Linked DNA regions of Daphnia pulex. The protein of the gene in region 2 binds, or shares a complex with, the protein of the main gene of each other region. Links are inferred from orthologs where the notes say so. Each region holds a gene or a part of one and is shown on either strand. Other genes may lie near its edges. The genes, in order: exosome complex component CSL4-like and exosome complex component RRP42-like.

Region 1 (16,347 bases), on a different chromosome or scaffold from region 2:
CCATTATTGCTATGGGCTGACCTTTTTTATTGGTCTGCCATAACGTGACTAGCAGACTTCTGTTTTTTGGGGTTACGACCGACTGAAAGATCAAATATATAATATAATAATAGTCTGCCCATCCCTATATACGTTGAGATTATTTTCAAAAAAAGGTTTGTACATAATTAAAACATTATAGCAACTTATCTAGATGGCCATTGCTAGGGGTTTGTTTGGACAGACGCTCGGGGGCAAAATCGAATTTCAGGGAGATAGGGAAAACTGAAAACGCCCTCTTTTTCAATGATGTTACCAGGAATCGTCCAGTTTCTACCCTCTAATTTAAATTTATTAAATTCTGTGTTTATTAATCAGAATTCAGTATTTTTTAACCAAAAAAGAGAAACGATATTTTTCTACTTTTATATATTCATAAAGGGACATTCCACGCCAAATCGACAAACCTTGCCGCGGTCGAATTAAATGTTGAAATAATAATTCTTTAATATTGGTTAAAATAATTTTTGCTGGTTTTGAAAAATAAGGTGATGGATGGGCGTGGCAACGATTCATAATTGTAGCAAAAATGTTGACCGTACCTACTTACTTTTTTCAACTTCTATAATCTGAAAGGGGAAAAAATTGTAAAAAATGCTCAGGACTTTTTTCGAATAATAACTAGTTTTAGAGACCAAGTGCGAAGACATTGGACATCACAGGTGGCAGCACCATAGATTCTACTGAACGCTAAAACCCCCTACTTTGACCTACACTATGCGTATGACCTAAAACGTTTTTACAATGCTTTATTCCGTTTTGTTACAGTCTTACTTAATTTGTTTAATTACACCAAAGGTTGTTACCCTAGCTTCAGTAAAAAAAAATCAAATTAATTCCAGGAAATGCAAAAAGAGTAAAATTTGTCGTTCTTTAAAAATTCACAGGAAAAGGTCGATATTTACAGTACCTACCAGAAGTTTGGAAACGCGCGAGAGAAGCTTATGTAAAAAGAGAATTTTCGCCGCGTTCCCAAAAATCGGGTTTTTGACGGAAGGCATCGAATTTTTTTTTAAGTAGCCATAATGGTTGGCTACTTCCTGAATATTTTTTAAATTTTTAAAGCTAAGGGGAGGGCAGCTAAAAATGGATCCAGAAGTTTGGAAACACGCTGTAGAAGCGTATTAAAAAGTGGCTGCTTTGACGCTCTCTAAATAGGAAAAAAATAACCCTACAAAGACGCCAAGTTGAAATAAAGAGCAAAGTTAGCTCTATGACAGGTGTCATTTTCAAATTTTTTGAGTTTCATTTAATACAATGAATTTCAAATTGAAAATGAGAATTGTCATTTTCGCCCATTTCACCCCTTCTATCCCATCCCGCGGTGTTGTCGCGTGTCCCTCTTTGTTTCATTTTCGGAAGTGGGAAATTTTCGCCTTTGCTCTAGTAGGTGATATTTACCCTTCCTAAGAAAATGAAACAAAGGAGAAATCTTTTAATAGATGACTAAATATTGTAGATGACTATGCCATCTACTGTTTGTGCAATTTTCAAGTAAAAATTGACAAATTTGAATTTTTGGCAATTTTTTAAGTGCCACACCCTTTCGTATGGAAACATATGGCGGAAGCGCCAATGTTTCCAAACGTATAATCTATGAATTTGCGGGTAAAGTGCTATTAACAAAAATTTCAAAAACATCCATGGTGAAAGCATATTATTCCCTCTACTAGAGGATTTTTTAGTTTTTCTCTGCGATAACTCGAACGTGAGTTATCGCGAAAAAAATGGGAACACTTTGGCCCGTAATCCGCCGTGTTAGCGCGGAAACACTCGTCGTGTTTTCAAACTTAAGGTGGATACTGTATATAAAAGATAAGATAGTAAAACGTCGATGTTTAAAAAATGGGTGTTCCAACAATACATTTTTGAAAACTTTAAACTTTCTTAAATTTTTCCCAAATTTGGTTTTAATAAATGAAATGTAAAGGGATGCTTCAATTGTTTATAGGTGATCATTTTAAAAATATTAAATATTGATATGGAAGGTCGGGGTCATGTTGGACGCGTCCAAGGTTGAATAAATCAATTTATTATTAAATTAGTAAGAATTAATTATTTTAAAAAACATTAGCAAGTGTAGAATTTCAATCCCCATTTAGGAATAGAATTTTGGTTATCTACGTTTTATATTTGTAAGATATCTTAAAAAATAAAAATTGCGGAATTTTTTCAAAGAATATTTTTTTACATTATTTCGGTATTGTTCAAAGAAAAAGTCAAGAAATTAAAATACATGACATTTAATAATAGAATGCCCATGTTTTATAAAGTCCGGTGATTTTTTCATGTACAGTTTTTTTTCAAATATTCATGGGGATGCTTTAAACAGGCAATGTGGGCTGAAATTAAACTGCACGGGGGATACGGAAAAAAAGCCTGCCAGGGAAACGCCCCTTTTTTTAATGGCTTCACCCCAAATTGTCCAGTTCACCCCCCCCCCCCAACCCTTATTTAATTTCAGAATTGAAGTAACTTAATTACTATATATTACAAAGCTTATTCAATAATATATCAAATAGTATATTAAAATATATTTCAAGATATTTATCAAGATATGTAAAAAAATATTCAATAAAACTGAGGAATGGATTCTTTTGGTGGGGTTGTCCAATCTTTCACCCTAATCGTCCTATTTCACCCCTTTTTTTTATTTTCGTAATTTTTTCTAAATTCTATAACTAAAAAAAAATTCGACACCGGGAATATTGAAAAAATATCGAACATAGTTGGAACCATAAGCTGTAAGTTTACAAAATATTTTTTATCATATTTCAACAAATTTCTCAATTATGAAAAAAACAAAATTTTGTCCAGGATAACCCCGCCCTTCCCTTTACATCGCTAAACCCCTAACAACGTGATATTTAAATCACTAAATATGTTTATTTATTTACATTTTATTTTGTTATATATTTTAGGATACACATTAGGCAAAACAACGTTTTAATTTGAAGCAAAAAACATCATCTATTTTCTGTGACTTTTCGAAGAACGAAGATTTTTACACTTTTTGCAATTTTGGGAATTATTTAGATTTTTCTACTCAAGTTAGAATAACCATCTTTAATATACAGTAGCTACCAAAAGTTTGCGAACCTCCATGACTACTTTTAAAAAAATTTCGTTGTCACCCGTCAAAAATTCGATTTTTGGGAACGCCGAGAAAATCACCTTTTTACTTAAGGTTCTCTCGCGCGTTCACAAACTGTTTGTAGCTACTGTGCTTAAACTAAATGGGTAGTAATAAAATAAGACAGTATGCAGAATCAATGGGGCTGCCTGGTATGCGATGTCGAAACACTTGGTCCCTAAAATTAATTATGATTTCAAAAATCTTGAGCAGTATTTTATCATTTCTCATTCTTTAAAATTCTAGAAAATGAAAAAAGTGAGTTCCGTAATAATGTTTGCTAAAAATATGCCCCGCCCACCCATCTCAATAATTTGTCAAAACCCTTCGGCGAAAAATCTTGTTTTAACCCATATTTAAGATGAATAATCACAGATAAAATCGATTCAGAATTTTTACCACGCCAAGATTTGTCCGTTTTGGTGTTGAATCTTGACCCTTTTTTATTTATCAGATTTAGAAGATGATGATAGAGATTAAAGAAGATGAAAGATTGAGAAATTTAAATTTTAAAAAAGGTTCAAGGAGATGTGAATCTGACATTAAATATGTTTAGCCTAGGCTACACTACAGCTTTTTTAAGGCTAAGTAAATATTTCCTCAAAAAGGCATTAAAATCTTAAATATTTCTTAAACATATTAAACATTTTATTTTATTTGAAAACTTTTTAAATTGAGTCCACACTTCAAACCGTGGGACGGGTAAGAAACTTTGTCGCGCACAAAAACTGTGGTAACAATTATTTTGTTGATCTCATTCCTTAATAGCAATTCATTGGCTGTCCACTAAAAAGTGTAATATTTAAGCCTTAAAAAGCTTAAATTAAAAACGTTTTGAATTTTTTAAGCTTTTTTAAGTTCTTATCTACATATTTCTTGAAAATATGGGTTACGTAAAAAAGTTTGGCAGTTTGAAAGCGAAGACAGACAAATTGTTAAGAACTTTTTAAGGTTTTTTTTTATTTTTACACAAACCTTAAAAAAACGCTCGAGTGTACCCTAGGCTTTCATTATAATATGCCCAAAAAGTTAAGTTATTAAACTTAAAGGCCAAACTTAAGACATAAATAAATGAGTCTCATTCCGTCATGGTCTCGTGGACTAAACTAATCAACCAGATCTGAAAGGTTAAACACTTACCCCAATTATGATAAAGCAGACAGCTTTAATAAAGAAAATGGAGAACCATTTCATTTTGAAGTGTGGTTTGAGAGAGCTTGAGATGATATGAAATACCAATGACTAGCAAGTAGTAATAAATATGGAAAAGAGTAATTCTACAAAAAAATGCTAATCTCTCGTTCTACTTTCCTAAAAACTGCTGAATACATCGGGTACCTAATGCGCATATTTTGACGACATGCTTACCATATGGCTAAACTAGACCAACAAATGGCTGATTTATTCGACATGAATTTAGAATGAGTAAATGCAGAGAACTCTAAATCTCCATCCATGTGAAATTGGACACAGCTGTCATAAAAACAGGATGTAAGCTACCTGAAACCATATTTTAATACACGAAAAACAGTAAACATATATAGTCAGTTCAATAATAGATAAACGCGGTTTGCAGACTGCTGCCCGAAAGAAATGGAAATACACATTCGAGAGCTAACTTTGTATGAAATGTGCACGATCGTTAATTGAACATTATTTATGAAAAAATATGCAACACTCAATAAAACTTATTAAAACCCTTTTGTCTCGAAGGTACCTAAGTCTTCTCTTAGATTATAACTGGGTCATCAGCCCAAATCCGATTATTGGTCTCTTTCTCACACCGTGTTTTCTATAGGCACACGGAACGTGGCATCCCCCTTTCAAGCCTATCTGAAAGCATCAACCGCCCTCGTCGCCTTCCTCTTATTTCGCAGCCTCGTCCTCTTCTTTGTCCTTCATCCAAAAAACCGCCTTCCTTTACTTCTTCTTCGTGTAACCGACGATCCAACCCCAGTTTGTTTTTTTTCTTTCTCGTCTTCTCTTTTTCTTCTCATTTTTTTAATTCTCGTCTTCTTTCTCGTCCTCGTCTTCTTCCTTATCCATCTTCCTCAATCCATTTTCTTCCTCGTCCCCGTTCAATCAACGATCCAGTCAATCGGCCTCTTTGTCGTCGTCTACCCTACGATCCAGCCTCTAAGGTCTCTCAAGGTTTGTCTTTTTTCTGGTTTCCTTCTCTGTCTAATTGACGATCCAACTTCCAAAAGGTCATCTTTTCGTTTTCTTCTAACCGACGATCCGCTTCCTCGTCAAACCGCCGATCCGTTTTTCGTCGAACTGACGCTGCGGCCTCGGAATGGTCATCTTTTCGTCTTCGTCTAACCGTCGATCCAGCATCCAGTATGCCTTCTTCATTATTCTGATCCGCTTATTCAGAAACCCTCTATTTTATCTTGGGTCTATCAACTCTTACGCTAGGTTAGTTCAACTCTTACGCTTGGTTAGGGTTCGTCTTTAGTTGATTCTTTGTTGTCATTGTTTCCCCACTAGATGTCTTTGTTAGAGAACAATCAACGGTAGAATAACTGTTAAAAATGACTTTGTTGCAAATTTTGTTTGCGGCGGGTGTGATTTTTCTAGCGATATTTTTTATTAGTCTGCTAGTCACGTGTTCTGGCCGATCGGTTTAACACACAGCACAACAGCCAATCATCATCTGAATCAAGAAAAACTTTTTCGTATCTTTTCCACTGAAATGGTGAAGAACCCACACGAGTAACCATGACTTTCGGTTAGGTATACTACGAATCTGTCAGCCTGGTGTGTGTCACGTTCGGCACCCTAGCAGTGTGATAGCAAAGCACAACAGCCTTCGGTCCCAACTCTACTTACCCCCTAAAGGAGTAAAAACGTCTATCGGCGGAACGGACTTTTTCTCATTTTGTCATTTTAGCTAAAAAAGGGGGTATACCCTAAATAAAAATTTTAATTCAGACTTTTTAATGAGCATTATTTGTTCTTACTTTGTAAGTATGAAACCCGGACAAAATCGTACTGTTGGATCTTAAAGCAATTTATAATCAAAAATTTGTATTTGGAAAATATATGGAGTAATTATAAAAATTAAATTATTATATATTAAAACTTTTAATAATACTTACAGTATCAAACGAATTTAAAACACCCCTCCCCTTCGTTTTGCGAGTACATTCTTGTTGCGCTACGTGTCTCATTGCAACTCGAACAACTTTTGAAGGGCTAGAGATGGAGAAAAGACGATCTACAAATTTGATCAGATTTAACCCCACGTCTCTACATCCTCGTTTACCAATTAAGTACACCCACTTTTCCCCGCCATAAGCACAGTGTTAAAATCGGTCATTTAAAAAATTAGAAAACAACACTTTGAATATAAAAGTTTTTTACCAAAAGATGCATCATCAAATGGTAGATAAAAATAAAATATTTTCATAATTTATGAATATTTTCTAAACAACTTCCCTATCCATCGAAAAGGGTCTTTGCATGAATAAGGGATCGGGTGGAGATCATAATCATTCGAATCAGTTTTTTACGCTGATTCTCGCATTTTTTTTTATTTTTTTTTTTATTATATTTTTCTACCGTAATCTCTCTTCAAAGTTGAGATAAGCCCCTCGCAGAACAATACAGACCCCCGCCATGTTCGCTAGGCGGTCCTTTAAATGTGATCAATTTTCAGACGACCATCATTCAAATCCAAATCAGCCTTTCCGCATTTCGCCTTTACGCCCTAGAGGCAAAAGAGGGTTGTAGGTAGCCATAGGCAGCACGAAAAGGGTTATTTGGGTGAAGGTCGTCTGCAAATTGATCACATTTAAAGATCGCCCACCAAAAATGGTGTGGGGTCCGTTTTAAAGTGGGGGGAGCTTATCTCATCTTTGAAGAGAGATTACGGGGGGATTATAATTTTAAAAATAAAATAATAATACTATGAGAATCAGCGTTAAAAACTGGTTGCTAAAACCCCATCTAGCGACGGCTATTTTACATTACTGTGTATGTAGAACATGTTTAAATAGTGATTTGAATTTTTTTTACCCGTGTAAACACATTTTCTGGTGGAGGTCGGACCTATTGCCATGCCGGTCCGACAGGGCAATAGCCCTCTATGGCTATTGCCCTGTCAGTGTTAATAACCCCATCTAGCGACGGCTATTGCATTTTACTTTACGTATGTTGCATTTTGCATTTTTTCTTTAGTCAAGGCCTATTACACCTTCTTAAATTGTATCGTTCACGACTCACGAATCATGTGAGTGTTATCATGTATGTGGAATAATTTATGTCCCCATCACAAACTATAATGGATATGATGATTCTTATACCTACGATTGTTACTGAATTCTCAGGTTAGATAACCGTAATAACAGTAAGCGTTTTGTTTCATCTCGTTCAGTGCAAATAAGTGCAAAAAAGTAATCATTCAATTAAAAAGGCATAATAAAGGTTAAAGGGACGTGCTAGTTAAAACGCTATACAAGACACGGTGCACTTTAATGTGAAAAGAAATCATCGCGGAAATCTGAAAACTAATCAGTGGATCAAACATAAAAATCACAAATCACAAATCAGTGATTGAGAGGGTGATCTTTTACACAAGCAAAAAACATTTTCGGTGGTTCTTGTATCATAAAAATCAATTGAGAGAGATAGTACACGAGTGACGGTAAACACACTCTTGTGTAAAATTCGAAGGCAGGACACTAATTAAAACTGTATAAACGAAACTCTATAAACTAAAAAATATAATTGGCGCAGGAATACATAGGTAGAAAGATGAAAGATTTCAATGTCACGGAATCAGATCGATCATTAAAATTCAGTGAACTATCCGTCTTGTTTAAAAAATATAACTTAATGTTATTTTGTTAATTAATATGCGGTGATTGAAGTGCTTAAAAAATAATCGACCCGGGGGAAGAAAAGCATTCAAAGTGGAACGATTCAGTGCAACAGGCGTGAACCAGTTTTATTTTTTTAAAGTAGCAGGACGGCAATATTTCCTGTGTTCATGATTTTTTTTTTTTTAGACTATTGAATTTCCGTTAATTCTCTCAGACGTAAGAGGGTGAACGATGAACCATGCGCAGCCAGTTCTGCATAAAACGGGAGACGGAAGAACGGGAGTCCCGTCGGTTAAGTAGTTCAAATCTTTCGTAGCCTATGTATTTCTTGTTTGATTCACACGTTACGTGGGAATCAATCTGCAGAAAAGGTCGATAGGGTGAGTCACGTTGCTGGTTGATGTTTATTCAAGGTCGTTAACAACCCCTCGCACCCCATTCTGACTTCTGAGAACTCCGGCTCAACCTTCAACCAACCAACTGAACAAGGTCAAGGGGGGAGACTAAGGGTGACTCACTTTGTTGTTGTAAATAAACCAGGTAAAAACCCAACAAATGCGTTGCGTTTTTCAAAAATGTCTTACTATAAACGAGTTTTAAAACTATTCATCCATAATGATACGAAATTTTATAAAATATCCATAATTAATATACAATAGCTTACTTTAATTTAACTCTAGTTTTGTTGGATCCAAACATAGTAAAATAAAAAAAAACGAGAAATTATTTTCGTGTTAACTTATTCCAGATTAAGGTTTATAATCATAAGAAAACAAATTAAATGAAAAATTTTCTGGGATAACTTTACAATATTAAACGTTCCATATTAAATTATAACTTTCCTAGTCGTTAATTCTACATAGTATTCATATGGATTCAAAAACGCTACAATTTTTTTTCTTTTGAAGTTCATCTTTCTCATATGCTATTTGATTGATTTTTATGAAAAAAAAATCATAAACATCCCTTCGGATACCTTGCTAATAACGCAGGTAGCTGACATCATATCGTGACATGTGTTTTTCGAAAAAATAAAATTTTTGTCATAAAATTTGTTTGTAATTTTACCCTATGCATCTTATTTTAAAAACCCAAACCAAACCTAAAAGTTTTACCATTAAGATTGTTCTTGGTTCAGAAAGGCTACCAATAGCCGTCGCCAGGTGGCGGTTTTAGCACTGACAGGGCAATAGCTCTCTATGGCTATTGCCCTGTCGGACCGGCATGGCAATAGATTTCACGCAATTTGCTGGGACATGGCAGCTTTGTCAGGGGTATGGAGAGAAAGGTATGGGGGTCTTTCCATACCCCTGGCTTTGTTAAACACACTTTCCGTACCATGTCGAGAGTAGGCATGGTCGAGAGTACTCAAGGCATCATCTTATTGGGTAAAATGTGGCATCACGTGACTTTTGGCAACGTCTATTGGGAGATTGACTGTGTGCATGGACTACTCTAATTAAGGACGGGATTCTTCGCCTATCCTGCCTTGTTAAAGCTAGTCGGGTGGGGTATTTTCATGAAAACATTAATAAAAAATATCATTAAATTCAGTTTTTTTTGCTGATTCCAACTATAGATATAAATCTTAGTGAAATAAACTAATCATTAAGATATTATAAATTTACTTTCAGAAGTAGGGGTAAAAGGATAAAACACCGGTGCCATCTAGCAACCAAACACCCTAAGCTCTTAAGAATATACGCTACAAGGTAAAATATAGTTAGGCAGCTATGTCAGAGGACTAGATAAGAGAGTGGTTTTTTCTTTCTCTCGGTATGCATGCATGGGCATCTGCTTGCAAACTAACAAGAGCTTAGGAGGTTTGGTTCCTAGATGGCACTGGTGTTTTGCCCTATTTCAAATTTTTCGTTAAGGAATTGGAAATATCTCTATAAAAATAAATGTTAGGTATAGGGCTCTTCGGGATCTGTTTTATTTAGCCGATTTATCTGGCAACGCAGCATGGTTCGAGACTTTTTTAGGGCGAGAACGGGGAGAAGAGGGAGAATGGGAGGACACCCTCCTCCCTCCCATTCCTCCCATCCTCCCTCTTCTCCCCGTTCTAGCCCTAAAAAAGTCTCGAACCATGCTGCGTTGCCAGATAAATCGGCTAAATAAAACAGATCCCGAAGAGCCCTATAGGAACATATGGTAATTCTATGATAATTTTTAAATTCTGATTCTGATTCTCCCACAAAAAAATTTACATGGCCGACATAGGAAACGCCGAAGAATATACCGTCCTTAATTAGAGTAGTTCATGCTGTGTGCACACTTAACGAACCCCACCCGTGAGCCGCCCAGCAGTCGACGTTTTTTTCTAACTTCGAAGTTGTTCTGGTGTGCGAAAAAAATGACGAATAAAGAATCAGACAAATGTGTAATATGCACTCCCGGTAATATTAAAAAACATATTTTTTTAGTTGTCATTTTGATAAAATGTTTGCATTTTTCAGGACAACGCATATGTCTGTCGGATAACCAATATATTGGAGGAGCCGGAACTTACACAAGACAAGGTTATATCACATCATGTTTAGCAGGTGTTGTTAAAGTAACTTCACAACCTGATAAGGTTAGTGGTTAAACAGTGAAATTAGATCAGTGAAACAATTCATTTGGTGTGAAATAATGAACTTCCGAATATTATGTTCAAACTTTTCTTCCTAGAGAATCCTGATAGAGGTTAGAAGTGGTAAAGAACAGACAGTTGTTCCATCTGCTGGTGATGTGGTTACAGGTACTGTTTAAATTATGTGTTGAATTTTGTGAATTTCATCTTAAACCTTTAAATAGCCAGAGTAACACAAATAAATCCTCGCTGGGCACGATGTGCCATTTTGTGTGTTAAGGACATTGTATTGGCAGAACCCTTTAGAGGACAGCTGAGGAAAGAAGATGTGCGTGCTACAGAAAAGGACAGGGTTGAAATGTACAAATGTTTTCGTCCCAATGACATTATTTTAGCAAGAGTGGTAATTATTTGATTTTGATCATTATTTCAACTGTAAAGTGAGTATGACTTCTAAGATGAAATTTTTTTTCATGTTGCTGTTAGCTCTCATTAGGTGATGCACATTCCTATGTTTTGTCAACAGCAGAAAATGAATTGGGTGTTGTTATAGCATACAGTGAAGAAGGTACTCCTATGGTTCCAGTAGGATGGCAAGAAATGCAGTGCCCAAAAACTTATGTTAAAGAATTGAGAAAAGTTGCAAAAGTTTCGCCAGAAACAATTTCAAACGAAAATGCAACAGGCGTCTAGATTATATTAATACATGAAATTTGACAACAAAGCTTTTCGGATTTTATTTTATTGGTGTTTTGTCGACTGCTTGCGTTTCTGTTCAATTCATTTCATTTTCTCCAAGTTCCTTTTTTCTAATCATAATTTATATTCTTATAGTTTTTTCAAGCATGTAAATAAAATGAGGAAACATCGCCAAGTGAAATGGAAAAATTTGCCGAAATCTCTAGCTGTCATTTTTATAATTGGGTATTTCAATTCCTAGCGAGTTCTTGTAATCAGCATATAGAAAACTACAATGTATCTTTTCTTTTTTATGAAGAGGAGGAACTACTCTGGCATACCAAATTCATTCTTTAAACCGCCGGTTTTCATCTTTATTGTCAGATGCCGCAGTTGAGAGAGAACGTCAAAAGGCTGGGTGCTATATTGCTATTCCTCAAACTGTAATTGAAACTGAGATTCATGCTATGACCTCTAAACTGAAAAATGTTGAACAAATGGTGGAGACTCTTATGAAGGGACCAACACATCTTGGTCTTGATTCAAATCCCTGGCATCTTCTTCGAATTCTTAAATCAGAACTCCCTTCTCATACTCAAGAACACTCCACTGCTTTAAAAACATTGGCTACTTCACATTATAATGGTATCTTCAAATATATTATTTACAGATTATGGTTATGGTTATAAAGTGTAAAATAACTGCTGATTATTCTTTATATAATATAGTTGGATTATCCCAGCAAATTGCCCAAGCATGTGATTTCAGGGTTAGTGTCAAACTGGCAAGAACAAAAAATGTTAACCTAAACTTGTTCCTACAACCCCCTGCTTACATAATTTCAACCTCTGAGGTTTTAAATTATATATTTAAAAGCTTATAAATGATGTGTCTTTTAAACAATCCTATATCCTCTATTATAGCCCATAGAAGATGTGTTAAACCACATTCTTGACAAAATTCCTACCTCCAATCAACACACTTGTGCTACATATTTTCTTAGCATTGCTCAAAAAATTACTGAAAAAGACAAAGATGAAGTAAGTATTTCATTTATGTAGTAGTTGATGAAACTTGTATAATATGATTCATTTGTTATTCCAGGAATTCAATCTTAGATGGGATCCTGATACTGCTAGAATTATACATCCGGGAAACATTGTTCAAATCGTAGAGCTGTACTTACAAGCTTTATTGGAACTGTCTCGTTCATTCGAATCCTCAATTTTAATGGTGCAAAATGGACTTCTTGTCGCGCTCTGGCGAGTCGTGCATATGTTCAACAAGGAAGCAGCGCTCAAAGCATTGTGTGTTAATATAATTGTGAACATCTCTTTATTCTCTCAGCTCCATCATCAGATTTTTCAATCAGGTATACTGTATAAGAATTTAAAACGTAATAAATTTTACGTAAAAAATTAACTTAACCTAAAAAATTAAACAGGTTGGATTGGCCTTTTAGCAGAATTTTTTGGTCCTCAACATGCTTCTCTAAATTTAGCTGCTGGAAAAGCTCTAGCTAATATGGACCAAAATAGCCGCAAATGTGGAGTATATGATAGATCAGTTTACCTGCTGCATCCGTTGTACGAGGATAAGGATGAAAGCAAGAAACCTTGCGTTAGACAAAATGTAGTTGGTCAAATTACGCTATGTTTTGCTAGTCTCATAAATGTTTACTAATTTTCTTTACATTACTTGTTAATATTTCATTCATATATCGCATCGACACTCGACAGGCAAAAAAATGGAGCATGGATGTTATTTTCGTTCATGGACTTCTTGGAGGGGTGGGATGGACTTGGCGGCAGAGTGAACTACTCGGCATGAATAGCGACTATAGCGAATGCTGGCCAAGGTATAATAATAATAATAAGCTATGATGTCATGCTGGCTCACTAGGTAAAGTTTATGATTACTCATGTGCGAGTCGTTAAGATTAACCATAAAAGAGGAGGTTGTGTTGACCCGCTACACCCTTATAATCTTTATTTATTTACTAATTTCAATGGGAATTTATTATTTTACAGGGACTGGTTACCGGCTGACATTCCTGATCTCCGAATTCTAGGTGTCGATTATGCGACTTCTCTGTCACACTGGAAGAGTCGATGTCCGGATGATGCACGTAGGTAATGGAAGCATAAAAATCGGAATAAGGGGGATTTGTATTGGTTGCTTTGAGACAAAGTAGAAATCTTAACCTGTTATAAATCATTTATTACAATAGGAGTGCAATCAATTCTAGAGCAGACCAAATATTGCTTTCACTTAAGCTAGCTGGAGTGGGAGGTCGACCTATTGTTTGGGTTGGACACTCCATGGGAGGCTTGCTATTGAAACAACTTCTAATTAACGGTAGGGTGTTGTGGATCCGCTCTCTTCGGAATATTCACTAGCTGTTATTCTTCCCTAGCTTCGAAATCTACTGATCCTGAGCTACAGAATATAGTCAGGAACACAAAAGCATTGTTAATGTTAAGCGTCCCACACGACGGATCAAGTGTAGCAACCTTGAATCTACCTGCGCGTTTCCTTCTGCTTCCTTCTGTAGAAGTAGAAGAATTAAGGAAAGGTGAGTAAAAGACAATGTTGTAATACTACTTTTTGTTTCTTTATCTACAGAGAATTTCTTGTGCAATGCAGGCTCTAACATACTAGATAATCTGAACTTAGAGTTCAAGAACTTGTTGCTAAAATTCCCAATAGGAATTGTCAGTCTAGTGGAAACCAAAGCAACGCTAGTACAACCATGGGGAATTGAGTTCAAATTTGTGGAACCAAATTCTGCTGGTAAACCCATACTTTATATGTATATACATTTTTTGTTAATCTCTTGATTTTTAGATTTACTTTCCGCTGGTGAAGTTCATTATTTACCTGTTGACCATTTTGAAATTTGTAAACCTCTTAATAGGTATAATTTCATCTTTATCGTCTTAAGTTTTTGTTTAACATCCGAATCTTTTTATTTTTTTTTAGAAATTCATTTATCTACCAGCGCCTTATTAAGCTGATTCTGGGAGTTCGGGTAGGATCTCCACCAAAAGATCTAGTTCTCACACTACCTGAACATAAATAGGAGATTTTAACCATTCAACTAGTACCAATTTATGTTTGAATAAAGTGACAAATGATTTAAAATGTATCAAATTATTTACTATTTAGATATAATGCCAAAATAAGAATAACTGGCAATGCCATTTGAAAATACTCAACATGGTGTATTTACAATTTTAAATTCATGACAAATTTTTTTGGACAAAATAAAATGAGAAGCTGGATTTAAAATTAGTAATACATAATTTTTTTTATATGTATATTTATTGTCATGAGTTTTATATTTTAGAATCCTCGAAAGCCCGATACCCACGTGTTTATTTTACAGGCAACATTGGGCGGCTGTTGTGTACTGTCGTCTGCTTGTACAGATCACAACTAAAAGTAAAAACTGAAAAGTAGCAGGACTACTAAACGAAAGGAACCTTGGAAAATTCGAAGGAGTAGAAGAAGCTCTATCATTCGATTGAGCGCTCTCGATGGTAAACCATCGAAGTCAATCTCATCCTCTCACTCATTCCAGTGTTTATCTCTCGTAAACGATGGCTGAATTCGACGAATACGAGTCTTTGCCTACCTCGAATTCCACTACACACATGATTGCTGGTTCCATGGCTGGAGTTTTAGAGCACTGTGTAATGTATCCAATCGACTCTGTCAAGGTAATTTAGATGAGACATTAAACCTTAATTTTTGAGCCAAATAACTATATAGTTGGGTGGGACTTGGGAGAAAAGTTATCGTTCAGTCTGTACTAGTCTAATGCATTCCATGTTTCCATAATTAGAATTTTCCCTAAATTTCTTATTCAGTATGCTAGCATGTGATGGACATGGGTATCAAATATTGGATGCATTCATAATAACCTGTCTTTAGACAACAAATATATTTTTTCTGGTTTCTTTTTTGGAGGCTTATTCACATTTATGCCTTTTACATTTACGCCTTATTCACATTTATACTTTCTCTCAACGTAAAAAGTCGAAATGGGCGAAAAAATATTTTATTTGATGGTCATATCTTAATCCGGGAGTGTGCTTATGACGAAGGATGTAGCTTTATCACTGTGACCTGTGTCTCTCAGTCGAAACTTTCCACATCAACTTGTGGCTCAAGTTGCACTGCTAGTACGCCGGACAGCTGATAATGATAGTGGGGTTGATAGCGCGGTTCTATGTTTATGATTACTATTGGCCATCCGAAGCTAGCAGTGTGTGTGAAATGTTGATAAAGCCAATAAAAACATGAACTTTGGAAGATTTCAAAATATTTCTCAAAAGTGCCCTCTCATTCCATTTGATTAATATACTGTTTTATCTCATGCAGACCCGTTTACAGAGTCTTGTTAGCGCCAATCGAAGTCTCGGGTCAGTCCTGGTGACTATGATGAGAGATGAAGGGGCATTGAGACCTCTTCGCGGAATTGGAGTCACGGTGGCCGGAGCTGGACCAGCTCACGCCTTGTACTTTGCTGCCTATGAGCGATTGAAAGTTGATTTCACATCGACAGGCTCAGCACATCATAACTACTTGGCTCAGGGAGCAGCTGCCTCCGCTGCCACTGTTCTCCATGATGGAATTATGACGCCAGCGGAAGGTATCCATCACGTTTCCGACAAAGTTAATGCGTGTAGCTTTGACAAATCCATATGATCTGATGACCGACTGTGTTTCCCTTGAAAAAAAAATTAACATGAAAATCCCCTGCTAGGTACATCATATCAAATGTGATGGATGTAATTTGATTTGTTTCTTTTTTCTTGGGTGCGCTCACAGTGGTGAAGCAGCGATTGCAGATGTACAACAGCCCCTTCCGGTCCATGACAGAGTGTGCCCTAAAAGTCTATAAGACGGAAGGATTTTCCGCCTTTTATCGCTCTTACGGCACGCAACTCGCCATGAATGTGCCGTTCCAGTGTGTTCACTTCATCGTGTACGAGGCAATGCAAAATGCCACCAACCCCGAACGCACCTACAATCCTTTAGGTCACGTCGTCTCGGGTGGAGTTTCAGGTGCGCTTATTATTCATGTTTTG
Region 2 (17,118 bases):
TTCGCTATCCTGTGACAGAGGAGATTGTTCGTCAACGTGGAGTGGTGAGTCAATTAAAAATTTGTCTTTCGTGTATTTCAAGTAATGTTTACAAGTGTCGTCCGTTAATTTATTCTTTAAGAATGCTTACCCGTATAGTTTTGTACGTCAACTACCGGGTCAGTTAAATATTTTTTTTTTTTTTTTTTGGTTAATGTCTTTTTAATCAAATAGTTTATTTATTGATTGGTACGGGTAGTTTGCTTACTGTGGCTCTAAACCCGTTCTCAGCATCAGCCGTGTAATTTACTTTGCGTATTGTCCCGTCGGCTTCCAACATCATATAGTAACCCGTTACGACGCCATTCAATCGTGTTTCTTCGTGACTTTTGACATCCCCGGTTGGTAGATTGTTTACGCTGTACTCGAAGTTGTAATCTCCATCACTCTGAATCCGTAGATAGAAATTAAATTCTTTCATTTAAGCATTTGCGAGTGCAAGGCGAGGATAAACTGTTACCTTGCGTGTCAGATTAATCAAAGACGTTGGCGATGTTGTAGGAACCGCAGAAGTTGGATTAGTTGTAGGTGACTGAGTTACCTGTTGATCTACCTCAACTGCTGCAACAGTGGTTGGTTTTGGCGATGTTAAATCAACTAGTGATTCATTAGCAGTTGTAGGGGTTTCTGAAACTACTTCAGTTTGAATAGTTGTGGAAACTTCTGTTTTGTTCTCGGACAAAATAGAAGTGGCTGGTGTAGTTGCACGCTGTTTGTACAAGCCATTTGAACCCATGGGAGAGTTGAATTGGTTGTTGAAATACGGCCAAAGAGCTAATGGCAAATACGAGCCTCTAGGCGGAGGACCAGGCATAGGAAATAGTATCGGCATAGGCATCTGCATCGATGGCTTTGGTACTCCATTGAAATTCATTGGTAGTCCATCTGTTAAAAAAATTATCTGTTCGCCTGGCCTCATGTAGATAGACTAAAAAGCGGGAAAATAAGGCCATTTCAATACGATTTTTTTAAACACAAGGAAAATATTTTATACTTGTGGTCTATTAGGAATAATAACCGGTGAAAAGGGAGTGCCGAACAAAGGAAGCGTTGCTTGTGGACGGCCGTTGATCCCACTGGCAGCAATGCATATTGTGAACAAAACCAACTGAAAGAATGTAACATTGTTAATCTTTGTTATTGACAAATTTAGTTTTTTTTTTTTTTTATATTACCGATCGGTTCATTTTATTGACTGGAAGGCAAGACTGGTGATGGTTATCGTACCTGACTCGATCTTATATACTTTCCATGTAGCCCGTCTTATAGTGGTCATTACCCTTTGCCCGTGAAAATTGAGATTGAACCGGTAATTTGTTTTGAAATTTTCGGTCGTTGTCTGCTGATCGCAGCATGAATTCGAGATCACTTGGAAAAGCCGAACACTGAACTTCCGGAAACGGATGCGACTCAGTCTAGGCAATTTATAATTTGATTATTTTCACGTCGGCCGGACGAGACAAAACAAGTCATACAAATAGCAGGTTTAATAAAACACATGACCTTGACAGAGTCAAACTAATAGTTAAAATCGAATTATACAATAATTATTATTGAAATAAAAAATTAAACTTCTTTTCCAGAGTCCACAAGATGGAGAAGACGCACCTAATTACATGGATTCAACCGCTTTAACAGGGGTAAAATCAAACTCTTTTTTGATTTAGTCGTCTAGCTGTGTTACTAATTCACTTTCTTGTTCAGGTGACCGTAAAAGCTCTGTACGATTACCGTAGCCAACAGGATGACGAACTTTGTTTTTGCAAACACGCCATCATTTATAACGTGAAAAAGGAAGACAACGGATGGTGGCGGGGCGATTATGGAGGACGGCGGCAACTCCTCTTCCCGGCTAATTACACACAAGAAATTGACATAACCCAAGAAATTCAAAACGAGAACGTAATCAATTCATTGGCGGAAGAAGATGAATGTTGAATTAATTATTATGATTTTTATTTTACAGTCCACAGAGGTTACACCACTCGGTAGCTTACAGAAAGGAAGCTATGATGTGGCGGGAGCTGTAATTGAGTTGGTGGCATTGCATCCCAGATCCCAATCACCACCCGATACTTCTCCAGACCTCAATCCTCGAAAAATTGCTCCCGAATGGCTGCTGCGAGTGAAGTCACCCTTGCACTCTGAGCCTATCGAATTGGGTTGTGATTCCAAAGAAGACGCTATCGATTGGTGTAACACGATCAAGTATTACTCGAATTTTCAAATTGGAATTGTAATGTTGTTAATTGAATCTTGTTTGTTTTTTAAGGAGTGTCGCACAGCGTTGTAGCGTCCGCGAAAATTTTCATCGTGAAATAGAATTAACGTGGCGAATTGCTAAAGAGCTTTCAGACATTATTGTGTACTGCCGAGCCGTAACGTTTAATCAAGAACGTATTTCGCGTGATGGGCGAAACCCGTATGAAATGTCCTCATTCCCAGAACAGAAAGCTGAAAAGTTTATGCTACAAGACCCTAAATTTTTCCTTTGGTATCATCAAGTAAGTTTATATGAAGCAACAACATTTTCATTAATAGAACATTAGTATAGGTATGCCTATAAATATTTTCTAGATAATGTTTAGCCGTGTCTACCCTAAAGGACAACGAATTGATTCTAGTAATTATTGCCCAGTTCCTTTTTGGAACGTTGGCTCACAGATGGCCGCTTTAAATTACCAGACTCCTGGTTCGTGATTAATATTATCACTATTCTACATCTTGTTAATAATTCAATCTTGCCATTTTTTTTTAAGATAAAAGTATGCAGTTGAATGAAGCCAAATTTCTGCAAAACGGCAAGTGTGGCTATGTATTGAAGCCAAGCTTTATGTTGAAAAATACTTCGCTAGAATCTCCTTTGCAGACTGCAGAGGATCCTCTAATTGTCGTTGTTAAGGTAATTTTTTGTGGAATCAAACAATCCCCACCAGTCCACAATTCTAATGACATATTAATGACACTCAGGTCATCGCTGCCCGTCACCTGACCAAATCCAAGAGAGGGATAGTAAGTCCTTGCGTAGAGATTGAGATTATTGGCAGCCAACAAGACAACATAAACAAACACACCACAAAGATCATAAGTATTGTATAAGCCAAAAATTCTAAATTTTGTTATTTTTCTGATGATCAAAATTCTTCCGCAGCTGACAATGGTTTTAATCCTGTTTGGGATGAAACTTTTCAGTTAGAAGTTGCGTCTCCCTCTCTGGCACTCCTCCGATTCGCCGTATACGATATAGGTCAACATTTACTTGCAAGCAATAAAATAAAACTTTTTCTAAGATTTAAAATTCATTTTTACAGATATGTTTGGTGATTCTCATCTTATTGCACAAGCCACATACCCGGTAACCTTCATCATTTTTATTTTAGCTACCTAGTTCCTAAGTATTTGATATCAACCTATACATGTTATTTTTCCCAGCTTTTGTGTATTCGTCGGGGATTCCGAAGTGTTCCTCTAAAAAATGGCTTTAGTGAACTTCTTGAAATGGCATCACTTTTAGTTTTTCTGGATATCCACAAGAGAAAGGTAGGAAACCATAATTTGCTCACTCAGGAAAAAGTTCGACTTATATTATTTACATTGATCATCATTGCAGGATGAAGGGAGTTCGGTGTTGTTGAAAAGGGACAGGCTTCGTGACCTAAGAAACCAAATTACCGACGCTCAGGAGCGGGGTGACGCATTGGCTGAGCAAGAGGCTCGCGCCGAATTCCAAGAAATCGAATCCCAAATTTTTGAAGATTTTAACCGTACGCGTGAAAAGTAGCAATGTTCATAAATGATTTCCATGAAGTCAATATGAAGGAAAGATGGGGTTATAATTGAGCATTCAGTCATTCATATTTTCATCAGAATGTTTTTGTGAATATTCTGATGGTTAAAATGAAAAAAAATTTGACTATTCAGCAAGTGCTCTATCGAATGGGTGCCTTTATATACTCAATTGATTTAAAGTGGTTTATTCATATTTATTAATGAATGCTGCTGATTTACAATCATGTTAATGATAACCCATCAGTTTGTTATAATACATTGGCAATATAAACTTTTCACCATCAATAAGCATCTTTTGCTTTGTTTGAGTGTGTGTGTGTTGAAGATTTATCCATGGCAAGTAATCTGAAGTTCCAGTAGGTGGTTTAACATGACCAGGTTGAATGTTTAGTTTTTTTGTGGCATATGGTATAAACTGAGGCATGTAGACAAGGAAATCATTACATTCTTCAGAATAATAAATACGAAGTGGAACCTGACGTGACACACTAAACAAAGAATATGTACAAATTACACCACCAAAAAAGAATCCTGCTACTTCAAACGGGATAGATGTTGATCCTTGATGGAAAAGATAAAAAGGTACTGTTATTGATAGAAAGACAGATGTCAATGCTGCTGTCAAGATGCCAAAGTTGGCATAAGTCTCAAGTCCACTCCGATAGCACATTCTGTAAGACAAGGGCACTATGTCTGGCTTGAGGTTTTTTAATACAAGGTCTTGAACATAGAATTTCCATGTTCCAATGTTTATGCCTTTTTGTAGTCTGCTTGAAAGACTTTCTCTTTGTTCACTTTCAAGCTTTTGAAATCTTTGGATGTAATTCTTTTCTTTAACATCACCATTTTTGCCTGTTGAATAGAATTTTAAGGCAGGAAAGATTTTTGTATTTTGCTTCGAGAATATGTCCCAATACCCGGTACATTTCCAAGAAATTCTTCTTAATGCTGAACCGGCTGTTATTCCAGCCATTGAAGTTAACGTTTTATAGTAGCTTGATATTTCTGATAACTCTAATACCACAGTCTTTATTCTTTAGCAGAAGAAAAAATCAAAATAATAACAACTAAAAAAAACCATTGTTGTCATTTCGTTTTTGTTACTTTCAAAATAATAAAAAAAATCTTTCAAAATAAAAAAACAAATAAATAAAGAATAATGAAAAATCATTTCAGTTAGCCTATTTAAATTTTTGGCTTATTTCTTTATAGCTGTTTTGCCTGTTTATTAAGTTTTAATAAATATTCTGTAAAGAACTATGGTGGTATGACACCGTTGTAACGTAACTGAATTGCAGAATAGCACATTTAGCAGACAAAAAAAATTGCATAACAGAGTTGATTTAAAAAGTGCGTGAATCGAAGAAAGATTCAAGATTGTATAGTTTTTAGATTATACTCTTTTTTCTAAAACAATTATTTTATTCCATATCAAGATTTGGAGAGAGCCATGTTTTCATCCCTAAAGACTATTAAGCTATTTAAGTCAATATATCTAAATACAAATAGTCAACCTGTAAGGAAGTGTAGTTCTTTATCAAAAACTAATGTTAAAGTAGTAAAAGTAGCTAAGAATAAATGGAGTATTTTATTTGGAGCTTCTTTTGCTGTTCCTGGGATCTGGTATCTTCAAGCTGACAACAAAAAAAAACGCAAAGTCAGAGTAACAGTTCAAGGAATAGGAAGGTTCTTGAGGTACTATAAGCTAAGTTTTTATTTATGGAAATCTAGCATAATTAAAATTTTATTTCAAGATCCCTTGTGATAGGAGTAACCATATCAACAGACTATTGGTGGTCATTGAAAAATGTTGATGAAGACTCTGCTGAATATCAGGAAGAATTAAAGAAAACACACCAAAGAACTGCAGACCGAATTCTGGCTGGCTGTCTTGGGAATGGGGGATTGTATATCAAACTTGGACAAGGCCTGGTTTCCATGAATCACATTTTACCAAAAGAATATCTTAATACACTTAAAGTGCTTCAGGACAAATGTCTTGCTAGAGGGGCCACTGAGATTGGGCAGTTGTTTGAAGAAGAATTTGGGAAGAACCATAAAGAATTATTTGAGGCATTTGATGAAGAACCTATTGCTGCAGCTTCTTTGGCTCAAGTATAAATATAAAGTTGTAATAGATTAAGTAATAGACTGCATAGATTGCAGGGACAGGTGTAAATAATCAGAATTTTTGATCAGGTGTTTAGGGCCAAATGCAAAGATGGAAGAGAAGTTGCTGTAAAGGTTCAGTATATTGACTTGCAGGATCGGTTCAATGGTGATATTGCTACAATCGAATTGCTACTAGAACTGATCAGTTGGATGCATCCAAAATTTGAATTTAAATGGGTTCTCAAGGTACGAACGAAACAACTAGTAAAAATCATGCTATTATGTATTAAGGTTAAAGATATGTTTGTATATTTAATGCAGGATCTGAAGGGTACTCTTTGTAAAGAACTCGATTTTGTCAATGAAGGACACAATGGTGAAAGATGTGCCAAAGAGTTGTCATCGTTGCCTTATGTTTATGTCCCAGATGTCGTTTGGGATCTGACTAGCAAGGTAATATATGCACTAATTTCACTTCGTTAGGGTATATTATAAATTTTTTTTAACTGTTTAGCGAGTCTTAACGACAGAGTTTATCGATGGGATTAAAGTGAGTGATACAGGCAGTCTAGAAAAAGCAGGATTTTCAATAAAAGATGTTAGCCACAAACTGGTTGAAATGTTTGCAGAACAAATTTTTCACACTGGTTTTGTCCATGCTGATCCACACCCAGGAAACAGTAATCAAAGAATTGGTTCTTGTTGTTTCAGTGAGACTCTAATTACTTATCTCTTTGTAGTCTTAGTTCGTCGAGGGAAAAAAGGCGACGCACAGATAGTTTTGCTGGATCACGGATTATATGAAGAGCTTCCGTCTACTGTTCGCAAATCTCTTTGTCGTTTGTGGTCTTCAATAGTGCTAAACGATCACGTCGGAATGAAGCATCATGCCGCTGCCCTTGGAGTGAATGGTTAGTAGTTTCTCTTTCTATTATCAGTATTTCCGTTGTCATTTGAAACTTCGTTAGGCAAATTTTTTCTCGTAACAATTTTGAAAGTTGGAATGGGTTTGTATTATGACTAGATTACCGATTGTTCTGCATGGCCGTGTCACAGCGCTATATTTCAGCGCCACCATGGCCAACTGAACACGATTCAGTGAATCAGGTCTTTGCTTCGTTTTACGATCACAAGGGGCCGAAAGTAGGAGAATGGCAGAAGATGACAACCGAACAACGTCAAGCAATTCGAATTCAAATGGATGAAATTCATGAAAGGATGATGGATAGCTTCCGGGCCATGCCTTCTCAATTGATGCTCATTTTTAGGTATTTAGTTGATTGCAGTGTTGGTCTGTTGGTCTAGAACTAGGTCAGGAAGCGTACAACAGATTCTCAATTTTGCTGCATCAATACGTTAATTTAAGAATTGTTTTAAAATTGAAACTTTAAATAAGATAAAACGAAGAAACTCTTTCGCGGTCTTTTTTGTATAGACTATTTGCTCTTCGCTGAAATGCTTCTTCAAAGACCCATCGGAAATCAGAAATTCGCTTTATCCAACTTAAATCAACTTTCTGAAACTGATTTGAAATACATGCAAGAAATGGCGGGGCAGCGTTTCGACATGATCATGAATAACCTTCGTTCCATGCCAAGAACAATGCTTTTAACTATTAGGTAATACTGGATATTGAATTAACAATAAGCTGTAATCCTTAGAGAGCTGTGTGATGCAGCAAAATTGATAAATTTGTATCAGCCTACTGGTTTTAACTAAGGGCAGCTTTCTAAGTTAAAATTAACAGATTTATTTTATGTTTTGTTTTGTTTTTTCCTTTTTTTTATAAAGGAACATAAATACAGTTAGGGCAATAACCAAAGACCATGGCAGTCTTGTCGATCGTTATACATTGATGGCCAGAAGTGCTACTCGAGGATTTTTCATCGTACCTGGTGCTTCATTTGGTCAACGTCTACAAGGAGTCTTGCAACAATTTCTATTTGACTGGCGATTGTGGTAATTTTAAGATGTCTCTTTCATTTACGTGATAACTCAGTGAATTTTTTTTAACAGGTGGGATAAAACACAGATGAGGCTCACCTTTTGGGGCCTTCGTGTGTTATTTTGGCTTGGTCGTGCACCTGATATGACAATTGTCGTACAAATGGTTGAATGATTTCATTAGAAATTGTATTTAGTAGCAGGACACAAATGTCGCGTGAAATTTGTAATTGCAAGAATTCCTTTGAAATATTCAATTATATATCCTTTTGTGTTAAAAGACATTTACCGCATGAAGCCAACTTTTTGGGATACTTCCAACGTTTCTTCTTCTAGGAGCTTTTTCATCAAAATTGTGTTGACCACCGCGCCTACTTCACTTCCCGTCTACTCAAACAAGAAACATTAGACTGCGGGATTGTAAAGAATAGAAAAATTTCGAACCTTGAGCATTGACACCAGGCTGTCTGGATGCAAACTTCCGGAGCCAATTTTCCTAACGGCAGTAACTTTTTTATTGCCTGAGACCGCCACAACAATACCAGAAGAGCTGCAGCATTCTTCTTCTGGTGTTGGATCTACTAGGTAATGGTTTCCAATCTGAAAGTGAAAACACAGTATTCGACTAAATATTTCAAAATTAAAACTTTAACTTTCAAACCTTCATCAAAGTCACTACACAAGGAATGTTCTCTGTGTTCAGTCTCTTGGTATCATAAGGATCATCAGAGAGCTCCAGTTCAGGTTGATCCCCGTCCATAGTTGCTACTTTAATAGAAGGAATTTGTGTTGCATAAAGAGCCGATTTCACAGCCAATGAAACTGCATCATAAAGGTTCCCTCCACATTCAAGAATCTATTTTAATGCCATAAAATATTTCATGAGAAATTGTTGATTGGTAGAAATATCACACCAGCATTACCAATATGTCAACATACAAGACCCAACATTGCTGTCCTGTCAAGACAGAAAGTTCAGATAAATTAATTGTATCACCTGAAGCATAAGATCTTTGAAGGAATCTACAAATTTCATTTGCCAGATCTTCTCCACCTCTCCCTTCAAATTCTGGTGTTGCATTTGCAGAGCTAAATTAACAAAAAGTACTATTAACATAAAAACTTTTAAATTCTATTTATATTTATTGTTTAAACAGACCAATCCACAAAGAACTCCAGCCTTCCTTCTTTGGGCTTATCAGGTAAAGGGGAAGCTAGCTCTACTTTAACTCCAACAAGAATATCAGAGTTTGCAAGTCTCAGCCTTGCCGATCCACTGGCATTTGAAACTAATCCAGTTTCAAGAATTATAGGGCGATAATCCAGCCTTGTTCTACCATCACATCGTAAATCATCCTTGGATATTTCAAAAATTGAATTTTGTTAAGTAAGGACAATTTATTTTTATAAGAGCTGATTGATTTAAGTATTACAGACCAAAAAATTTTACTGGCAAGACCGACAGAATTTAATTATACCTGGACACCATGATGAATGAATGCTTTCTCAGCTTCACTTAAAAGTATTTCTGCCATTGATATGGAGCTCAAAGGTAACCAACGATACAGAAAACAGTAACAACTAACAAACGCAGATGACTTTAATCAAAATACCACGGGAATGTAAGTAAACTGTAAACCTTACCAGACCTTACTAGTTTTCAAGCTAGTATGTTTGTATATGTCTGCACTCGACAGTTGTCTGCTACATTAGGGCAACGTTGTCGGACATCCGTCAGGTTCAGATTCTAAAGACAGATTTAATTGGTTTATTTATTTGCCAATTGCGTTTTTTTACTACAGTACGCACATTGATTGCACGCCATTTATTTTTACATTATACATGATTTTATGCGTGTTACCATACGTTTTACATTATACGTGTTACCATTTACCATGGGCATGGAGAGACCTCTCCAAACCCTTGGTGTTACATAAACATTTGGTATTCATTTTCATATTGGTTATTGATTGTAGACCCACCCCCCAGCAACGTCAACCTCCAGAAGGAAAGGCCAGCTTTTGCATGTCCTTGACGCTCGAAGGTCATGGAGATCATTATGTAAAACTTGTCATGCAATGGTGTAGAGGTTGGGTGAGAACGAGACGTTTTACACAACCATTTGGTATTCATTTTGATATTGGTTGTTGTAGACCCATCCCCAGCAACGTCCGACCTGCAAAAGGAAAGGACAGTCACACTTGAAGGTCACGGAGATCTTTACGTAAAACGTGTCATGCAGTGGAGTAGAGGCTGGGTGAGAACGACACGTGTAGCATCATTATCAAGCAGGTAAAATAACCGCAAGGCTTAAGAGGTGAGGGTGAGAAAAAATCGTATAAAAGGCGAGAGAAAAGGCGAAGGTAAATCAGTTGAGGGAGCATCTCCGACACGGCAACAACTGCAGCGCTCTGTCTGTCAATTCGCATGGTAAATATTCTGTCTTTTACGTAGAGTTTGGTATCAATCCTTCTTTTGTTTATGTATGCCTGTTATTATGTAATATTTATGTTAAAATTGCTAATTGTCTAGCAAACTATGGCGTAGTGCTGCTGTTGTGTGTTGAATCATCGATGGCTGGGTCGACCACTGGTGTACCGATGTCTTCTTGGTATGGCGGATACCAAACTGCAACGCCGCCGCCTTACTACCCAAAAGCAACTTACGCAACGACCAGTTACTGCACCGAGGTCTTCAAGTACTACACCACTAAAGCACCGGACTTGAATAGCACAACTTACGCTGCCCCGAGCCACTACACTGCCGCCCTGAAGTATTTCTCTGCCCCGAGTTACTACACCACCAAGGCGACGGAAGATGACTACGCATGCTGCCCCATCCTCCGAGGCTCATACACCGAAGCTCCTAAGTATTACTCTGTTCTCATCTACTTATTGCACCGATTTTCCTAAATACTACTCTGTTCCCAGCTGCTACACCGAGGCTCCCGCTGATTACTACACCGAAGCGGCAAAGTACTACTCTGCCCCGATCTACACAACCATAACTGAGGCGGCCAAGTATTACGCAGTCCCGACTTGCTACACCAAAGCTGCTCTTTCGTACTACGTTGAACAGGAATACTACATTGATGCTCCAGTTCACTACACCACGACCTACGCTACACCGCAGCCCACAAGTACTACACCGAAGAAGCCGCCTACAACAACGTATGCTGCCTAGTTTACTACACCGAGGCTCCCAAGTACTACATCACTAAGGCACCGGATTTCTACACGTCTATGTGTGCTACCCCTGCCTAGTACACCGAGGCCCCGCATTACTACAACACTGAAGCGCTCAAGTACTACACTACAACCTGGCTTCCCCGAGCTACTACACCTACGTCCCGAAGTATTACTGTGCGTTAAAGGAGTCTTCAAAAAAAGGACCACCAATTGCTTTCTTCATCGTGTAACCGATTCGCAATCATGGGTAAATATTCTTATTTTTACATTGAGTTTTGTATCAATAATATTTTTTTCTATTTGTTAATATGCCTGTTACTATTTAATATTAATGTTTCAATTTATTTTGTTTAGTCAACTATGGCGTCGTGCTCCTGTTGGGCGTTGTATAGTTGATGGCTGGGTTGATTGCTGGTGTAGCGATGTCTCCTTGGTATGGCGGAAATCAAACCGCAACGTCGCCGCCTTCCTACTAAACTTACGCAACGACCGGTTCCTGCCCTGAGGTCTTCCAGTACTACACCACCAAAGCACCGGAGTTTTATACCACAACTTACGCTGCCCCGATTCACTACACTGATGCCCTGAAGTATTACTCTGCTCTGAGTTACTACACCATCTAGGCGATGGATGACACCACACGACTACATATACTGCCTATCCTACTACACCGAGGCTTCTAAAGTATTGCCCTGTTCTCAGCTACTTATTGCACCGATTTTCCTAAATACTACTCTGTTCCCAGCTGCTACACCGAGGCTTCCGCTGATTTCTACACCAAGACAGTCGAATACTACACCGAAGCGGCAAAGTACTACTCTGCCCCGATCTACACAACCACAACTGAGGCGGACAAGTATTACGCAGTTCCGACTTGCTACACCAAAGCTGCTCTTTCGTACTACGTTTACACTGATGCTCCAGTTCACTACACCACGGCCTACGCTACACCGCAGCCCCCAAGTACTACACCGAAGAAGCCGCTTATTACACAACTACGTACGCTGCCTAGTTCACTACATCGACGAATTTAAGTATTGCCCTGCTCCAAACTACCAAACTTAAGTTCATATGTATTTTGCAATTTTCATTACTATATCACCACTGCTCCGACCTAAACACCTAAGTTCTGAAGTATTTCTCTGTATTTGTGAAAGATTGCTGAAATACAAGATTAATTGATAAATCACATGTTTCTATTTTCTCCTTAAATACCTTCTCCTGCCGATAATTGCATGATGTGTGAAAATATTTCTGAGTGCTATATGTAAACTTATTGATCTTGCCAAATACACTGATAAAATATTCAAACTAATTTTTACATTTCAATAAAATTTAAACTCCTTTTTATAAATTATTTTCTCATTAAAATCAAAGTCCAACAAACTGAAAAATTCAGAAAAATTCAAAGTCCACCTTCCATTATTTCTGCTAAGTCTAGACTTTTGTTTTTGAAAAAAAATTTAAAAAAATTCCCCTTACACGAAATTTTAAAAATTTTATCGCGAAAAAGATTGATACGAATATTTTATTGCATACAAAATTTATTTTTATAATATTTTACATACATCATATACATTTTTCCTGTGGCCCCCAGGGGGGGGGGGCCTGTCGCTTTCTCTACCGCGATAATAACATGATGCAAGTTATATGCAAGTTATTATTTGTTTGGTGCAGAAAGCTTGTTTTATCTAGCAGTTCTCAACTGTTTCAAACCTGACATTGATCAGGTTGCCTCAGTCGTATACTGCATGATTGAATGAAAACTCAAAAGACAACAGATCAAACTTTAAACTCGGCAACACAAAATAATACTGGCAGAGCAATTTCATGGCATAACGACAACACAAAAATTTTGAAGTCAGGAACCCAGATGGAACAGCTCAGCTACAACAGCACAGCAACTTCTGGATTACACTGCACCCGCATGCTGCATACAAAGACTCACTCTGTCTTCGTCACACCTTTCACCATTTGGCTGCAACAAGGTAACCACCAGCATTAAAGAAGTGTTTGTTATACCTGTTCAAGAAAAGAAAATTATTTTCGAGAAACACAACTGTGTACACATGCATACTCATTATATAAAAGAATACATAGGGTAACAGAAAACTACGCAGTCCAACAGAATAACTTTGATCTAAAATCTTACGAAGGCAAGGTATTCATAATTTCTATAGTAGCGTAGCAAGTTGGTCTACTCTCTAGTCTTAAATCTGTTAAAGTCAATGTTAAATCTATGATACTTTTGCAAGACATTTGAAGTCTTAAATCTGTTAGTCAATGTTAAATCTATGGTACTTTTGCAAGACATTTGATCAAAATAATTACTGGTAAAAGTCTATTTTACCCGACCAACTTCTTACTTTACTTTACTTATCTAATTCACTTTACTTTACTTAATCTAGAAAAGTAACTAAGCGGGAATGAGCCCGAGCGTAGCGAGGAAATACAGGGGTTTTGGGTGGGTATAATAAAGTATAATAAAGCATCAAACCATACTTCATTATACTTTACTATACTATAACCAAAAACAACTATATTTTTACGGTATGCTCGGGCTTATTCCCGCTTAGTTACTTATCTAGATTAAGTAAAGCAAAGTGAATTAGATAGGTAAAGTAAAAATACCACTTACTTTATTTACTTAAAGGTAATCCAATTGCCGCAATACAAAACGAACTTAACAGCACAACTCTATGTCCCTTATTAAGGAATCAACATGATTTCTTCGTAAAAGCAAATCCCAAATTCTGCAGTTAAGATGGCGAGTTTTTGGTTTCACGAACAATCTGTGATACACTTCTGAGTCGTTATTAGCTACAAAAAGTCTAGTCAAAATACGCCCGTCTAATTCCTGAGATGTTGCACTACCACCGTCAAAAATCAAACTAATTCAGGTGTCGTCTGCTACGGAAATTCTCAGACGTTGCATGCATCACAATTTGAGCCATACTTATACTTTGAATATTAAATTTTATTTGATAAGTTTTCCACGCAACACATGATAAACTTAAATATAAAAGTAAATTTTTTATCAATGTGCAGTGTTTGGCAATGAATCGCAGTAAAAATGTTTTTTTTTGTGGGGGGGAGACCCCCCCAACCCCCCCTTTTTTTTATTTTTATCCAGATTGTCCCCCAAAAGCCCACCATTTCAACTTACGCTTTTTACGCTAAATGATTTGTTAACGAAAACAGCCAACAAACATCGAAATTTTTCAGCCATATTATACTTATTAATATAACCTAACCTAACCTAACCTAACCTAACCTAACCTAACCTACTATACTTTACTTTATCTTATAAGTATACATGAAACGTCAAAATCATAATAAAGTAAAGTAAAGTATCTTCATCATGATATAATATAGTAAAGTTCCATGACCTTTATATGAATAATAAAGTATAGTAATATAAAGTAACAACTTGATTGCCACTTACAAGTTGTTAATAATACAGTAAAGTTTATAATGATTTGATGCTACTTTCATCGATCGTGGATTTGAACCACCAACCATTATGTTAGAATTCTAGTGCTATGCCACAGCGCTAATCGACACTTCCTCGATACGCAAAATGTTTTAATAACATTTACAGTTATATCATAATAAAGTAAACTGTAATAATTTGAATAAAGCTGTATTTATATGGCACAATGAACTTCATAATAAAGTAGGATAAAATAATATAACGTTAAAATAAAAAGTAAAGTAAATCTTGATTGACCCTTACTTTAAAATAAAAATAATTTAATTTATATATTTCACCTGATCTCGGATTTGAACCACTGAGCCATGAATTTCTAATCCAGTGCTATACCACAGTGCTAATCGACATTGCTTCGATGTGAAAATAAATAAACTAAATAATATTTCACTATTATGTATTAATTATGAATTTTTGGCAACAGTGTTTTAATAATATTGACAGGATGCCAGTCTGCTACACGGTAGGGAACGAGAGGTTGTACGTGAAATTTCTCGTATTTAAGTAAAGTGAAGTAAAGTAAAGTGAAGTGAAGTGAAGTAAAGTGTAAATTAAGTGAGTGTAGTAATAATTGAGAATTAAGGAAAAAATTAAGTATAATAAAGTAAAAATAAAGTAGAATTAAGTAAGGTTTTGGTCGGCTAAAATAGACTTTAACCTAATTACTTTTTGCTGTTGTATGGGATGAGACATACGCCTAAGAACAGACAGCGAGACACACGAGGCACGCCATTTCGGCAATGTACAGGCACTTCCAAGTCTGAGTTGAATGACTTGGCAAAGTGGTTTCCACATGCTAAATCACCTGTAAATTTTCACATCAACATTTTACATGCAATAACAATAGGAAATTAACAATAAATACCCTTTCAATTTTCATCGTGAGAAATGTCACGACCAGCAACCCATTTCTGCTACGTCTTGGAACAAAATGGCCGAAATGCGTCCCTGGAGACACTAGCGCTACCTGGTGGACATTTCAGCCAACTATTGACAGCCACCTATTGACAGCCATTAGATTCCTGTTCAAATGACTGAACGCAACGGCTGGATTGCTTGCTTCCAGAGTCCAGACAGCACGCAGCAGCTCAACTTGAATTCGACATGCCTTTCGGCTTTCAATAGCTGGCAATCTGGCACGAAATGAATGTAATGAGCATCAACACCAGATTACTCCAGCAGCTTTTCCTATGACACAAATACACAAAGTTTTTAGTTAGCTTTTCAGACTTCTTAACTCTTTCAACATAAAAATCTATAATATTAACAGAAAGTGTTGGGGGTCAAGACAAAAAATTAAACTTACATCTGAAGAAAAGAATAATTTTCCTGCCTGTGGCTGTAAGGCAGCAGCAGCAGCGGTTATTTGTTAGCAAAGAGTTAGCAAAGAGCCAAATCAGCCAATCAGGCAATCAGCTAAAGCGGTAAAAGTCCGAGGTCCGACTGCAATGTTCAGCTTAACGACTAATTTTTAAAGTGATAAATAAAAATTTGTTAGAATGTTGAATAAAGAGAAAAATCAGGACAAGTCTATAGAATGTCTATAATTAGCAAATCACGCCACTTCAGCACACCTTTTACCTTTATTGATGCTCCAATTGACTATCTTTTTATGTCAATTTTTTATGCAGAAAGAAGAATCACAAACCAAGAGACAGGATAACAGATAAGTTGTTTGGGATTTGGGTTTTAGACTTTCTTTATCGTCGAATAAGATTAAAAGAAAGAAATTACCTTGGAAAATGAATCAGTCTCACTGTTCTAGCGGCGTGCGCCCCACAGTGCAATTTTTATGTTGCGTAAAAAAAGCCGACCATAAAAAGGCTTAATTGATCGGAAGTAATTGACAATCAATCATATCAGATTTACCGCCGTGAAATAAAGACAAAATCTTCAATTGATGTCTTCCTTTGTAAATTATTGGTTCCGAAGGAAATCCTTCGTTTGGAGCGTGTCCTGTCTTTGGACAAGGTTAATTATCTTTGGTTTTTCCTCTTGCCCAGTTCACAAACGCATCGTTGCGATCAGAATTGGATGGCTCCTAATCCTAAAACGATGGGAGTATATAAACTACCAGGTGCCTAAAACACAAATCGACAGTCGTATAGTGCCTGCCAGAAACTCAACATCAAGGTAACGCGCTCACAGTTTCTTTTAGAATGCAAAATGAAAATCAAGTGAAATCAGACGGCAAAATGGAAAATCCGGCTTTAATCGGCTGGTTTCAAACCGAACCTTCCCAAGAGCAACACGAACAATTCATACGGAAAGTCGTGGATATTGTTTTAAAGGAAGCAGTGTTTGAGGGAACATCGCGAAACAACTTAGTCATCGAATGGATGGAACCAGAGAGTTTGTTGACCTTACTGGGTAAAGAACTACCAAAGAATCCGCAGTCTGACGAAACACTAGTTCAGTTAATCAAGAACGTTGTACGATATAGCGTGAAAACAGGTCATCCACATTTCATTAACCAGCTATTTTCAAGGTAAAAAAAAAAAGTCGTACATATTTATATTAACTCATTATGGGTGATTTCGAAGTTTTAGTTACCTA

The links.
Region 1: exosome complex component RRP42-like (region 2) and exosome complex component CSL4-like share a complex: the UniProt entries of both Homo sapiens proteins name them as parts of the RNA exosome core complex. The link is inferred for Daphnia pulex from reciprocal best matches to the Homo sapiens genes EXOSC7 and EXOSC1.

Annotation. Positions count from the first base shown.
Region 1 is NC_060026.1:7,111,521-7,127,867, reverse strand, and holds exosome complex component CSL4-like, read left to right. Parts: upstream 1-10,242; 5' UTR 10,243-10,261; coding exon 10,262-10,397; intron 10,398-10,457; coding exon 10,458-10,576; intron 10,577-10,671; coding exon 10,672-10,741; intron 10,742-10,797; coding exon 10,798-10,976; intron 10,977-11,059; coding exon 11,060-11,266; 3' UTR 11,267-11,295; downstream 11,296-16,347. Other genes in the region: protein SERAC1-like, read left to right, coding at 11,430-11,497, 11,571-11,896, 11,980-12,104, 12,175-12,291, 12,356-12,623, 12,696-12,883, 12,991-13,109, 13,282-13,383 and 5 more; mitoferrin-1-like, read left to right, coding at 14,854-14,973, 15,638-15,908, 16,088-16,324. UniProt on the Homo sapiens protein: Non-catalytic component of the RNA exosome complex which has 3'->5' exoribonuclease activity and participates in a multitude of cellular RNA processing and degradation events.
Region 2 is NC_060020.1:2,134,133-2,151,250, forward strand, and holds exosome complex component RRP42-like, read right to left. Parts: upstream 9,673-17,118; 5' UTR 9,529-9,672; exon of another isoform or gene 9,466-9,528; 5' UTR 9,420-9,465; coding exon 9,363-9,419; intron 9,241-9,362; coding exon 9,044-9,240; intron 8,974-9,043; coding exon 8,808-8,973; intron 8,741-8,807; coding exon 8,546-8,740; intron 8,485-8,545; coding exon 8,329-8,484; intron 8,272-8,328; coding exon 8,170-8,271; 3' UTR 8,060-8,169; downstream 1-8,059. Other genes in the region: 1-phosphatidylinositol 4,5-bisphosphate phosphodiesterase gamma-1-like, read left to right, coding at 1-44, 1,623-1,679, 1,744-1,941, 2,006-2,247, 2,312-2,543, 2,617-2,731, 2,799-2,941, 3,010-3,127 and 4 more; uncharacterized protein LOC124192348, read right to left, coding at 215-427, 500-967, 1,034-1,147, 1,215-1,226; uncharacterized aarF domain-containing protein kinase 5-like, read left to right, coding at 5,279-5,523, 5,583-5,943, 6,028-6,186, 6,262-6,393, 6,455-6,620, 6,681-6,851, 6,965-7,208, 7,732-7,899 and 1 more; cysteine sulfinic acid decarboxylase-like, read left to right, coding at 16,722-17,050. UniProt on the Homo sapiens protein: Non-catalytic component of the RNA exosome complex which has 3'->5' exoribonuclease activity and participates in a multitude of cellular RNA processing and degradation events.